Linked DNA regions of Rattus norvegicus. The protein of the gene in region 1 interacts with the protein of each later gene in a pairwise test. Links are inferred from orthologs where the notes say so. Each region holds a gene or a part of one and is shown in the gene's direction. Other genes may lie near its edges. The genes, in order: Cebpe, Ddit3 and Cebpg.

Evidence for each region.
Region 2: the proteins of Cebpe (region 1) and Ddit3 interact in binary tests that used the Homo sapiens proteins (3 or more experiments, as listed by UniProt). The link is inferred for Rattus norvegicus from reciprocal best matches to the Homo sapiens genes CEBPE and DDIT3.
Region 3: the proteins of Cebpe (region 1) and Cebpg interact in a two-hybrid assay, tested with the Homo sapiens proteins (2 studies listed by BioGRID and IntAct, with this or other methods). The link is inferred for Rattus norvegicus from reciprocal best matches to the Homo sapiens genes CEBPE and CEBPG.

The regions. Positions count from the first base shown.
Region 1 is NC_086033.1:32,139,200-32,142,994, reverse strand, and holds Cebpe (CCAAT/enhancer-binding protein epsilon), read left to right. Parts: upstream 1-1,518; 5' UTR 1,519-1,706; coding exon 1,707-2,216; intron 2,217-2,769; coding exon 2,770-3,105; 3' UTR 3,106-3,279; downstream 3,280-3,795. UniProt on the Homo sapiens protein: Transcriptional activator. C/EBP are DNA-binding proteins that recognize two different motifs: the CCAAT homology common to many promoters and the enhanced core homology common to many enhancers.
Region 2 is NC_086025.1:65,000,527-65,004,524, forward strand, and holds the start of Ddit3 (DNA damage-inducible transcript 3 protein), read left to right. Parts: upstream 1-1,168; 5' UTR 1,169-1,203; coding exon of another isoform or gene 1,204-1,266; intron 1,267-3,761; coding exon of another isoform or gene 3,762-3,803; 5' UTR 3,804-3,809; intron 3,810-3,998. Other genes in the region: uncharacterized LOC128125814 homolog, read left to right, coding at 1,204-1,266, 3,762-3,803. UniProt on the Homo sapiens protein: Multifunctional transcription factor in endoplasmic reticulum (ER) stress response. Plays an essential role in the response to a wide variety of cell stresses and induces cell cycle arrest and apoptosis in response to ER stress.
Region 3 is NC_086019.1:96,826,896-96,830,968, reverse strand, and holds the start of Cebpg (CCAAT/enhancer-binding protein gamma), read left to right. Parts: upstream 1-1,232; 5' UTR 1,233-1,391; intron 1,392-1,424; exon of another isoform or gene 1,425-2,124; intron 2,125-4,073. UniProt on the Homo sapiens protein: Transcription factor that binds to the promoter and the enhancer regions of target genes. Binds to the enhancer element PRE-I (positive regulatory element-I) of the IL-4 gene. Binds to the promoter and the enhancer of the immunoglobulin heavy chain.

The DNA.
Region 1 (3,795 bases):
ACTGACTGCTCTTCCAGAGGTCCTGAGTTCAAATCCCAGCAACCACATGGTGGCTCACAACCATCTGTAATGAGATCTGATGCCCTCTTCTGGTGTATCTGAAGACAGCAAGGGTGTACTCACATACATAAAATAAATAAATCTTTTAAAAAAAAAAAAACCAAAAAACTAAATTCTCTCTCTAGAACATCTGTTTGCAATAAAAGAGCCAGGAAGGTACGACGGCACATCTGTTAGCTCAGCTCCATAGAGGCTGAAGCAGGAAGATGAGAGTTCAAGGCCAGCCTAGGCTAACAGGGAGACTCAACCTAAAAAAAAAAAAAAAAGTTAAACGTAACACAACACACTTCTCATGTCTCTGTGTTCTTTTCTTGCCACTAAATCCAGAGCCTTGCCTGAAACAGAGCCACAACCGACTGGAAGGAGCGAGAAGTTCCCAAACAAAAGAGAAAAATACACTTTGGAGGTTAGTAGAAGATCAAGAAGGGCAATCGGGCAGCTACCGGTTTCTCCTCCGGACCCTGAAAGAGCCCCAGGAAGAGGGGAAGACAAGAGAGAAGGCTTCTCAAGCCTACAAGAGGAAGTGGACCCGAGAGACACGAAGTAGAGGTCAGAAAACAGTCATGCAGAAGGAAAGCGGCAAACTAAGCTGCCCTGAGCTCCAAGGCCTGCATGCAGCCCAGGGCACAGGAAGTAGGAGGCAGAGCCTCTGGCCAGTTGCGGGGTGGGGTCAGCCTGAGCCTCTTTCAGGGTGGAGCAACTGGGACCTCCAGCAGATCTTGTCTGTTGGTTCTGGGGCAGCCTGGGCCCGAGGTACAGGGCCCATGTCCTGACCAGAAACCTCAGCTATGTCCAAGCAGTCCGGGACTGTGCCGGGCTGCTAGCCTGGATACATGCGCACAAGCCCTGTGCAAAGACCTAGCCTTAATAGCAGCACTCTGGAGGTAAAGGCAGGCAGAACTCTGTGAGTTCAAGGCCAGCCTGAGCTACATCATGAGATCCTGTCTCAAAACTAGCATGAGCATACCCCTTACTAGGGCCAGGGCTAGCTTGGTCCTAGAATCTACTGCTGTTTTCCAAACCCTTCAAGCAACGAAGGCCTACACGAGGCCTGGGAGGTGGGGCTGTAGAGGAACTGACTTACCCCAGGGTAGGTGGAGTTCAGGACTTGGGGGGAACAGGGAAGAAGATGCATCAAGGGAGGAGTTTAGATCAAGTTGGCACTGGAGGAGTGCTTTGTCTGCTGGCTCTGGCTTGGCGCCTCACTCTGCACGGGTCTCTTTGGAAGTCGGAGGAAGACAGGCATTCAGAGAAGCTACTCTGGGGCAAGGGATTAGAATCCCTTGAGCTCACAGGCAAGAAGGGCCATTTTCCCAAAGAGCAAATGCTGGACTGTGGCTGGGGCCTCAGCAAAGAGCACCCTAACTGCTAAGCACCCCTCCCTCCGGGGTGTGCCCTGCCCCTCCCTGAGTCACACCAAGGAGAGAGAGGAAAGGGAAGAAAGGAGAGGCACTGACTACAGAAGGAAAGGGAAGCAGAGGAGGAGAGAAGCCACGTAGGAGTTGGTGACAGAGAAGACCAGAGAGGGCAGACCTAGGGCAAATCTAGGACAGGGGGAGATCAAGAGAGGGCAGGCTGAGCATCCCAACGTGGGAGCGCCCCTGAGCACAGGACCCAGGGGCGGGGAGCCAAGGGGCGGGCCGGCCATGTCCCACGGGACCTACTATGAATGCGAGCCTCGGGGTGGCCAGCAGCCACTTGAGTTCTCAGGGGGTCGAGCTGGGCCCGGGGAGCTGGGGGACATGTGTGAGCATGAGGCCTCCATTGACCTCTCCGCCTACATCGAGTCTGGGGAAGAACAGCTACTTTCTGACCTCTTTGCCATGAAGCCAACGCCTGAAGCCCGAAGCCTTAAGGGCCCAGGAACACCTTCATTTCCTCACTACCTGCCGGCTGACCCTCGGCCATTTGCCTATCCCTCACACACATTTGGCCCAGATAGGAAGGCTTTGGGACCTGGCATCTACAGCAACCCAGGGAGCTACGACCCCAGGGCTGTGGCGGTGAAAGAGGAGCCTCGAGGGCCAGAGGGCAACCGAGGCACCGGCAGAGGCAGCTACAATCCCCTGCAGTACCAAGTGGCACACTGTGGGCAGACAGCAGTGCACCTCCCCCCGACCCTGGCAGCACCTGGCCAGCCCCTGCGCGTCCTCAAGGTAAGACTAAGGTAGCTCTCCTGGTTTCCTCCCCGGGGTGGAGCAAGGTGGTTGGATGAGGGAATTCTGACTACTGGGCATCCCTAACGAGTCTGTGTTTGGTGCTCCTCTGTGAACATGGCTTACCCCAAGACCCTGTTTCCAGACTCTGAATTCATTTCTCAGAGCTCTACTGTGTCCTAAAGATACTTGTAGTAGCCGCTCTATCCTGTTCCGGAGGAGGGAGGGAGCGTTCTGCTGTCCACTATGCCCCGTCTCTTGTTTCTCTGCTGCCTGCTTTCTGGATGAGGAAATGCGGCTGACTAGAATTTTTCAATAAGAGACTTATTGCAGACAAACCAAAGGAAAGGGTCCTCAGAGAATATGAGAGCAAAAGAAAGCTCTGGTCTCAGATCAGGGACCATATGCATCCGGGCTACACAGACACAGGGTGATGCCCGGGAGCCCTATATCCCTTTAAGGCCTCAAGTATGCCCTTTGCTACTGGGATTCCTGCTTAGCCTTCACTCGGCCTCCTGGTGGAGCCTCACCTCTCTGTCCCCTTACCCTCCAGGCCCCTGTGGCGGCTGCTGCCCCTCCCTGCAGCCCCCTTCTCAAGGCACCCTCCCCTGCTGGCCCCTCGCACAAGGGCAAGAAGGCAGTGAACAAAGATAGCCTGGAGTACCGGCTGCGACGCGAACGCAACAACATCGCAGTGCGCAAGAGCCGGGACAAAGCCAAGAGGCGCATTATGGAGACACAGCAGAAGGTGTTAGAGTACATGGCGGAAAATGAGCGTCTGCGCAGCCGCGTGGACCAGCTCACCCAGGAGTTAGACACTCTCCGCAACCTCTTCCGCCAGATCCCCGAGGCTGCCAGCCTCATCAAGGGTGTCGGGGGCTGCAGCTGAGCCTGCCTGGCAGACTATGGGCACCGGGCCCTAAGGACCCCGCCCACCCTCCTAGGTCCCCAGAGTCCTAAACAGGCCAAGCCTGAAAAAGAGATCATGGACAATGGCAGCCAGTAACTGGGAAAGTCGGGACCAAAATGATTCTGTGGCTGAATAAATTGCACTGTGACTTGATGCTGGAGCTGTTCACTGGGTCTTGGGCCAGGGCCTGGTGGGAATGCTGTGTGTATACTCCTGGAAGACCCCGAGGGCAGGGAATACATGTGGCTAGTCCACATCGTGTCTTCTCCATGGCCAAATGAACGCCTAGAAATACTAACATGCTACCCATGGCTCTGTCCGTCACACCCTCCAGCCAAGCCTCAGCCTGTCCCTCTCTGCTCCTCTGTCACTTCACCTCCATGTCCACCCACCTACCCACTTGGTCCTTTGTACACTGAGCACAGGCTTGGTAGCACCACCACGGTGCAAGCCAGTGTCTGGAGCAGCCTCTGCATCGTGCCCTGAGAAACTCCTGGGGCTCAGCGTGATCCAAGTGCTACACAGCTCCAATGCCAGGCCCACTGACCTTTGGCCTGCTCTCTGACTTTAGGCCTGGGAGCTCTTTTCCCAGGTGACCAAGGGAAATTTTTCTGATGGCCCTGCCATATTCGTGGTCCTTGAGCTGTGGATCCAGCATTCAGTCTCTTT
Region 2 (3,998 bases), on another chromosome or scaffold:
GTACGACAGACTATGTAATAGGCCACCACATGGCCTCTGTTTTCATGGCACAAAAAATAGGTTTTGCAAGATGTTTTTACTTTTACTCAAGTTTTCTTCACAGTGCTGTTTTTACCTTTACCTATCATTCTTTAATTTACAACTGAGTACGGTAGATTCCTTGGGCAAATTAAACTAGAATGACCCAGTCCAGGCAATCATGCGCTCAAGTGCATGCACGTCCCAGTCTCTAGGTCGTGAACCCAGACACCTAGAGGCATGAGGCCAGCTAATCAGCAGGGAGTCACAGGACTTGCTATCTTGGAGAAGGAAAAGGGTGGGTATTGGGCTTAGTGAAGGGCATAAGAGCATCACACAAAGCAGGGGTAGGATAAGTAGGCAGGAGGCTACACTCTACAAAGAACTTGAATTCTGGCACGCAGTGGACGATTCTGAAACAAACGTTAAAGCTGCCCTTCTGAGAGAAGCGGATGGACTACCAAGGAAATGCCAGTACCTCAGTCTTTGGGAAGCGTTAGAAGGCTAAAAGAGGAGGAGGTCTCTTAAAAGACTCCAGAAGATGTCAATCCAGGTGAACAAATTGGAAACTTTAAAGAGGTTCAAGAGCCTCGGTGCCCATTAGTTGGGAGGGGCCAGGGAAAATGAGTCTTTTATGGAGGAGTAAGTTAAAGGTGATGGGAGGTGGGCAGACAAGTTCAGGAAGGACAGCCGTTGGGGCCGTTGGACACTGTGAGCTGGCGCTCCGCCTTCTTTCCTCTCTCCCCCATCCCCCCCTCCCGCCCGCTCCCCAGCACCTCCCACCACCATCGACGTCTCCTGCGCGTGCGCGCGCGGACACCGGTTGCCAAACATTGCATCATCCCCGCTCCCCCTCCGCCCCCCCCACGTCATCCCCTCCCTCGCCGCACTCTCCTCCGCGCGCGCGCATGACTCACTCACCTCCTCTGCGAAGCCTCGTGACCCAAAGCCACTTCCGGGTCCGAGATAACGTAGACTCTCGAGCCAGAGGGCGCGATGGAGGCGGGGCCACGGGACTCCTGAGTGGCGGACGTGAGGGGTGAGGCGGAGCCTGTGCCAGCGTGCCGCTTTCTGATTGGTAGGCTCCTGGACACTACCCCCCCCCAGGAGGGACCGAATAGCATAAAAGATACTCGCTCTCCGCTCCAGAGGTCAGTATCTTGAGTCTAATACGTCGATCATACCATGTTGAAGATGAGCGGGTGGCAGCGACAGAGCCAAAATAACAGCCGGAACCTGAGGAGAGAGGCGAGTACTGACTCCGTCTACCCCTTACTTTCCCATCCTCGCCAACATAGCTATTCCACAAAGTTAGAGGCAACTGTCCTTGAGGGTGTAGCCCCACCCCTTCCACTGTGAGTTTGTAGACTGAGGGGCGAGTGAAGGCGGGTAATTCCTGATTCGGGAATGGTGCTTACAGGCCACCTCTTTGGGCGATTGCATTCCCGTTCCCTTGTCTCAGGTTGGTCCCTGCTCTGCAAAGGGACTCCGGTTGCCTTCGGAAATTTGTCTCAGTACTGACCATTTGCGGGCCATCTTAGGCCTAGGCGGTTCGCAGGAAAGGTGGGGCAACAGGACACACCCCCCAATGTTGGGGACTCCGGCTGTTAGCACCTCTTCTCCACCAGCCTCATTCCCCCCAACTCTTTCAAGCTGAAGCGCCTCAGGGACCACCAACATGGCCACTTTAGTAGCTGTCTCTAACGTTCAAGACAACTCAAAGACTGACAGATCTTTGCGAGTGGGGGTGCCGGTGGGAGGAGCATAGATGGGTTTTTCCCTTTTCCCCAGAGGTTTCTGGGTTTCCGTACAAGAGAGCAGCCTGGGTCTCTTTAACTATGGGAAATTACTTGGGATCTCTCCAGGGTCTTCTGCTTCTCTTAGGACTGATCTCTGCTTCTTTCCTCAGTCCTGTCTCCCAACTAATCTCTGTAACCGTTGCATCAGGCCAGCCCACTGTTTGTCTCTGCACCCTCAGGCCTGGGGCTCCTCTGCTGATGAAAGCCAGGTCCCACACACTGGAAGACCAAGGAGTTTTCCCTAGAGGACAACCCTGCAGAGAAACACTCAGGGCAATATTGCGTCTGCAGTCCCCAGAGACAGGCAGCTCAGCTCTGCCTTTGGGCTCAGTGGGCTTAGTTGTTCTCTATTCGTTCCTAACAAATGCCTAATAAGCACCCACTATGTGCCAAGCATTTGGGGATCCAGGGTATATTAGAAGCAAAAGACGAAACTGTTCTCAATAAAACTTACATTTCAATGTAAAGCAAAAGGGGGGAAAAACAGAAGCAGGGAAAAAATAGTTCAGGATGGTGGCTAGAGGTTTTATCATTCAGGAATTGCCTCAGTGGGTGGGTGAGATGGAAAGAAGGCAAGCCTGTGAGCCAAGCAGGTAATGTGGAAGAGGTTTATAGAAGGGAGAGAAGGAGCAGAAGGGTTGAGATGAGTGTGCCAGTATCCTTAGGAGCAGGGCAGTGAGCTGGACTAGAGTAAGCAGGAGAGGGTGGTGAATGGAAACTCAAGTAGCAGGTCCTGTAGAGCCTTGCAAGCATTCTCAGGATGCTAGTCTTTCAACAGTCCTGAAACAGGAATCCATTGGGGGATCTGAGCAGAGGAATGTCCTAAATTAAAAGGGTTGGGGAAAGACCCCATGCATTTAATTCCAACACTCAAAGAGGTAGGAGCAGGCAGAGCTCTGAGCTCCAGGCCAGCATAGTCAGATCCTAACTCAAAATAAATACAAAAACAAAGGGTTGAGTGTGTAGCTCAATAGTAGACTGCTTGCCTAGTATGTAGAGGGCCCTAGGTCAACCCGCAGCCATGAAAATAAAAAAGACAAGAATAGAAACAGGAGATCTTAGCTGGAAATAATGGCAAATGCCTTTAACCCCAGCACTTGAAAGGTAGGTAGATCAGAGTTCAAAGCCAGCTAGTCTACAAAGTAAGTTCCAGGACAGCAAAAGCTACACAGCAAGACCCTGTCTAAAAAAAAAAAAAAAAAAAAAAAAAAAAAGATTTCAAGGCTTCCAAAAATAATCTAGGGAATGAAATGCATAATGCATGGTAAGTTTACATCTGGAAATAATGAGAAAAAGTGAGAAATATTTAGGTTTTGGGTACTTCTAAAGAATATTGAAGTTGCCAGTGCTTTAGACTGAGCTGTGGTATCTGAGAAGGGAGGAATTAAGGATACCAAATGTTTGGCTTTAGGCACCTATAGTTGCCATTTAGTAAGAACTGTACCCCCTTGGTAGGAAAGGCCTTTTGTGTAAGCTGAATGCCTGCTCAACAACCAAAAGAGATGGAGATCCCAGGGCAGGTCTGGAGGCTAGGATGGGAATGGAGTTTAAGCAAATACTGCTGAAATCTCTCTTCCCTGTATTTTAGTTCTCACTTTGGCAGATCTGAGGTCTATCTGGATTTAGAGAAAACTTAGTTGGCCAGGACTTTGCTATTATGTAATCAGGACTACAAATGTCAGCAACTAAAAATAAAGTTAAGCATGCCTGTCCTTGGCTTCAGGGACACACACACACACACACACACACACACACACACACACACACACACACACGAGCCTCTCTGTGGCCTGGTCTACAGAGTTGAGTTCCAGAATTCCAGGATGCCCCGGGCTTCACAGAGAAACTGTCTCAAAATCCAATGACAGAAATTAAGAAACCAGCTAGAGAAAGACCAGTAAGAGGCTAGAGGTAAAGGACCTGTTTCTTCCCCTTTCTCCACAGTGTTCCAGAAGGAAGTGCATCTTCATACACCACCACACCTGAAAGCAGGTAATCTTAGCCACCCTCCCAGTCAGCTCCTAATGCTGCTCAACTTGCTTTGCTGGGATGAGAGTTAGACCAGGCCTTGACCAGAACCAGCTTTTGCTGTCAGACCATGTCTTTCTCTGATCCCATAATGTTGTTTTAGAGCTGGCTTGTCTCAAAGTCAGCCTCAAAAATGGCAACTGGTTTGTTTTC
Region 3 (4,073 bases), on another chromosome or scaffold:
GAGGCTTGCCAAGAACCAACACAGAATGCAGCTGTCAGGGAGGGTAGCTGGCAAAAAGAGAGTCTACCTCAATGTACATATGACATACAAGGATATTTTTATTTTCTATAGTTTTTATATGATTAGAAAATATTAGGGATAAGATCATGATTATTTTGTGAGAAACAAAGCACAGTTCATCTTTGATAGTGCTAAGAGTCATGAAAAAAAAAATGGCTCTTAACACAGCGATCCAAACCTAAAGAAACATACTGGTTTTGAGACAGCTCCCCAAATGTGCATAGGGTTATCAGGAGTCATTCTCTGTGTTTGCCTGTTTTTTGTTTTTTGTTTTTTGTTTTTTTGTTTTTTTTGTTTTTTTCTTTTTTTGTAGGTATTCTCATCTCTCAGGGATTCCTGGAAGTCTTAAGTGGAGAGCTGCTCTCCTGGCCTTGGCGCGGATGAAGAAACATTTCTTTTTGAAAGCCAGTGAGTTTTGAATGATAAGCATTGCTAAAGAGGAAGCAATCAAACCTATCTCTCAGGCTCTGCCCTCCACCCAGCACGCTGCTTCCTGTACTTCAAAAAACAAAAACAAACAAACAAACAAACAAAACCCAACAAAACCAGCTTTTTGATTCTTTTGTGAACTGTTTGGGAGAACCAGGCTGGACTGCTTGTCACTTTTAAGACAGCACCTCAGGTCCATCATCCGCTCTCACAGAGACGAGCACACTTTGGAAATCGTGATTTGTCTGAGAGCCACAGTCTACTGTTCTCAAGAGTGTGACAAGTGCTAACCCTAGCACTGGACAGTTTTTCCTTAACGTGCTTTTGTCAAAATGAAGTTTGCAGACGCCCTAGGGCCGCGAGGCCTAAACAAAACAAAAAAAATCAAAATCACTAACTCAAAAATCCACCCGAGGAAATGCCATTTCCCTAAGGCAGGTGAGACTCTCATTACTATGACAGAACTTTTCTCGCTACCGGTCACTCCCATCGCTCAGGGCCGCCGCCCGCCACCACGGACAGCCTAAGGGGGAAACCGCGGAGCGCGCCTCCAGCCAGCGCCGGTGCTACCACGCCCACCACGCCCGCTCCGCCGTAAGTCCGCCTCTTGCTGCCACCCTGGCTGTGATTGGCTGGTGGAGCTGCCGGTCTTGAGAAGCGAGCGCGTCGTTCTCCGAGCAGCGCTTCTATTGGTCACGGCTGCGGCGGCAGCGCGCGGACCCGAAGAGGAGGGGAAAGCCGGTGGCCGCGGTGGCGGAACGGGCGGAGGCTGCCGGTTTCGTAACCGTCGCTCCTCCTCGCCGACTCGCAGGCTGCGAGGCCTGGGTAGGGTCGGACCGCGCCGCGCGGGGCCGCTCGGAGTGGAGGCCGTCTGGGGGCGGGCGGGCCGGCCGGAGGCGCAGGTAAGGAGGCCGCGGGTTCTAGCTCGGAGGGGTTGGGGGAGGAGGCCGCAGCGGAGCCCGCCGCTCGCGTAGGCACCGGCCGGGCTCGAGGAGACCCGGCCCTGCCGGATTCAGCAGGTTGGCCCGGAAGGCCCCCGGCGGCTTGGCGGCGCGGGCGGGGACCGGGAGCGGCGTCTGATGCAACCTGCGGGCAACACCCGGCGGGGCTGAGCTCATCCCTGGCCGCGGCCCAGCGCCGCCGCGCAGGGCGCCGACCCCCGCGCTCCCCCAGGCGCCCCCTCACCACAGTCGGGGAAGGGATGGAGTACCAGGTGGCCCCTCCAGAACCTGCTCCCCGGCGACGTGCAGCGTGACAAGCCTGGCGCGCATTGGCCCCTGGGAATGGAGAGTGTTTCTAGAATAGAAGATGGACCGAATCTTACTTTGGAGCCACCTAGGACTCTTCTGTCGCTTCCCAAACGGCTCGGTCTGGGGGAGGAGGGCCCGGGTCCTATTTGGAGTTAATAACCTAGTGGTCATCTAGGGAAGGCACTTGATTTTTTAAACACTTAGCGCTGCAAGAGGGAGATTTCGTTTGTTTTTTGGGACGCGGCCGCGTGTCTTGTAGTTCATTGGGAGGGGAAGGACATCCTAGATAGCGCACCGGTTCACTAGACGCAGAAGGTCAAGCCATGAAGCCTTTCCTTAGCTCGCCTGGAGGGAACTCGGGAAAAGAGCCAGCAGACGAATACAGGTGGAGAAGTTGGGCGGCGTGCGTGAGGATTGTTTCTCTTTCTAAGTGCGCTTGTGTATTTCTGGTCTTAAGAAGGCTGGCATGCTTAGATTTGCTCTGCTCTTTGTTGTATTTTGTTTGTTTCTTTGTAAGCCGCCTCATAAGATGTATCAAATTTAGAAAGGTTTTAACCTTTGTGAGTTGCACAACAGCTGGGGCCTGTGTCTCTGGAGTTTCCACCCGCTTGAATCCTTACTTGAATATATTATCATTGAATGCATACCTGTCTCACAGAGGAAATTTTGAAATAAAGCACCCCGTCTTTACTGAGAAATTCAACATAGAAGAATTCAGAGCATGGTAGGCAAGCCACTCTACCTCTGAGCCGCATCCCTAGCCTTCAGAGCGCTCTAAGGTCCGTTCAGCTGTTGTCATTTGAGTAGTATTAATAAGCTATCCCTGCGGTTCTTACCTGTTCCTGAAAAACTGTAGATAATGGCAGGACGCTACTGAGCTGAAGAAATACTTGAGTCTGTTTCCTGAGTCCGATGGGCATGCCCGACTGACTCAGTTATTTTTATGACCTATCAGAAACAAATAGGTGGGAGCAGACTTCCCTCCCCCTCCCCCAATATCCTTTAAATTCTCACACCACGTCATGATTGCCAGCCAGCTCTGTGATCTTGGAGAGGTCCTTTCATCCCTAGCGAATTAAATGCTCCCTAGGAAAGTCCCTGGGAGCATTCCCTTCTGAGATCATGGGAAGACACACAGGACCTGGTTGACAGTTGCCACAGTCACAATAATGAGTACTGTAGCAATTTTAGGTTTCCCTCAGAGGGGTGGTTGCATAGGTTCTTACACTAGCAAGTTTATTGGTCCTCTCTCTAGTCCATTGCTGTGCCCTGCCATTAAAGAGAGGGAAAAAAGTGAACAGGAACTCCTAATAAATATAGTTATAAACAATGTATTTTTGAATGTGCTAAATAGTACTATAAATAGATGTAAAGGATAACATCCAAACAAGCTTATGTTTTCTTCACAACTCCAGTGGACCACTTACACTGAACTCCTTGAAGGAGTCTCCTCTCCTTCATGGACTCTGCCTCCTACAGTCTCCAGGGAGCTGGGATTGCCAAAGAGACTGGGGGAGCAGATTGAACAAAAGGCACAAAGAGAAAACAGAGACCATTTAGAATGCTTTAGGGAGCAGAACTTGTAGAGAGGGTTAGGATCTTGGCTTTGATCCTGTAGTCACAGACATTGATTTTTAGTAGCAAGATGTGACATTGTTAGGTTTGAATGGAAGACTGCTTGACTTGCAGGTACCAAACTCTTTGAGGTCAAATGACTGATCCTTTTATAGGGGTCACCTAAGACCATCCGAAAACAGATATTTATATCATGATTCATAACCATAGCAAAATTACAGCTATGTAGTAGCAACGAAAATAACTATGGCTGGGGGTTGCCACAGCATGAAGAACCTGTATTAAAGGGTCAAAACATCAAGAAGGTTAACTATTGCTCTAGATAATCTAGATAGTGGGTGCTTGGAGGGAGCTCAGGCTGCTACACCAGAGGCTAGGGCTCCTGGGAGATGATGTCAACCTGAGGTAATTTCTGTGGCATTAGGAACGACAAGAGATGTGGGATATTTTTGTTTGTAAACCTGAAGACTCAACCTTCATTAAGGAAATTGAGTGAAGATTTGATTTTGGGGGGCTAATGGAGGGATACATGGTTCTATCTAGGTTTATGGAAAAAAGTGACAAGCTAGGGAAGTTCTGTACAGGTTTATTGTTCCAAGTAAAAATTTAGACAAGTTCTATTTTACTATTCTAACATTCCAGAGTTTCATTGTTTTATTCTTTTGAATGAACATTATTACTTTAGTTAATAAATTTGCATTTGAAGAAAGTTTTACTCTTTAAACATAGCCTCATATTCCTAAAATCCATTGTTTATAT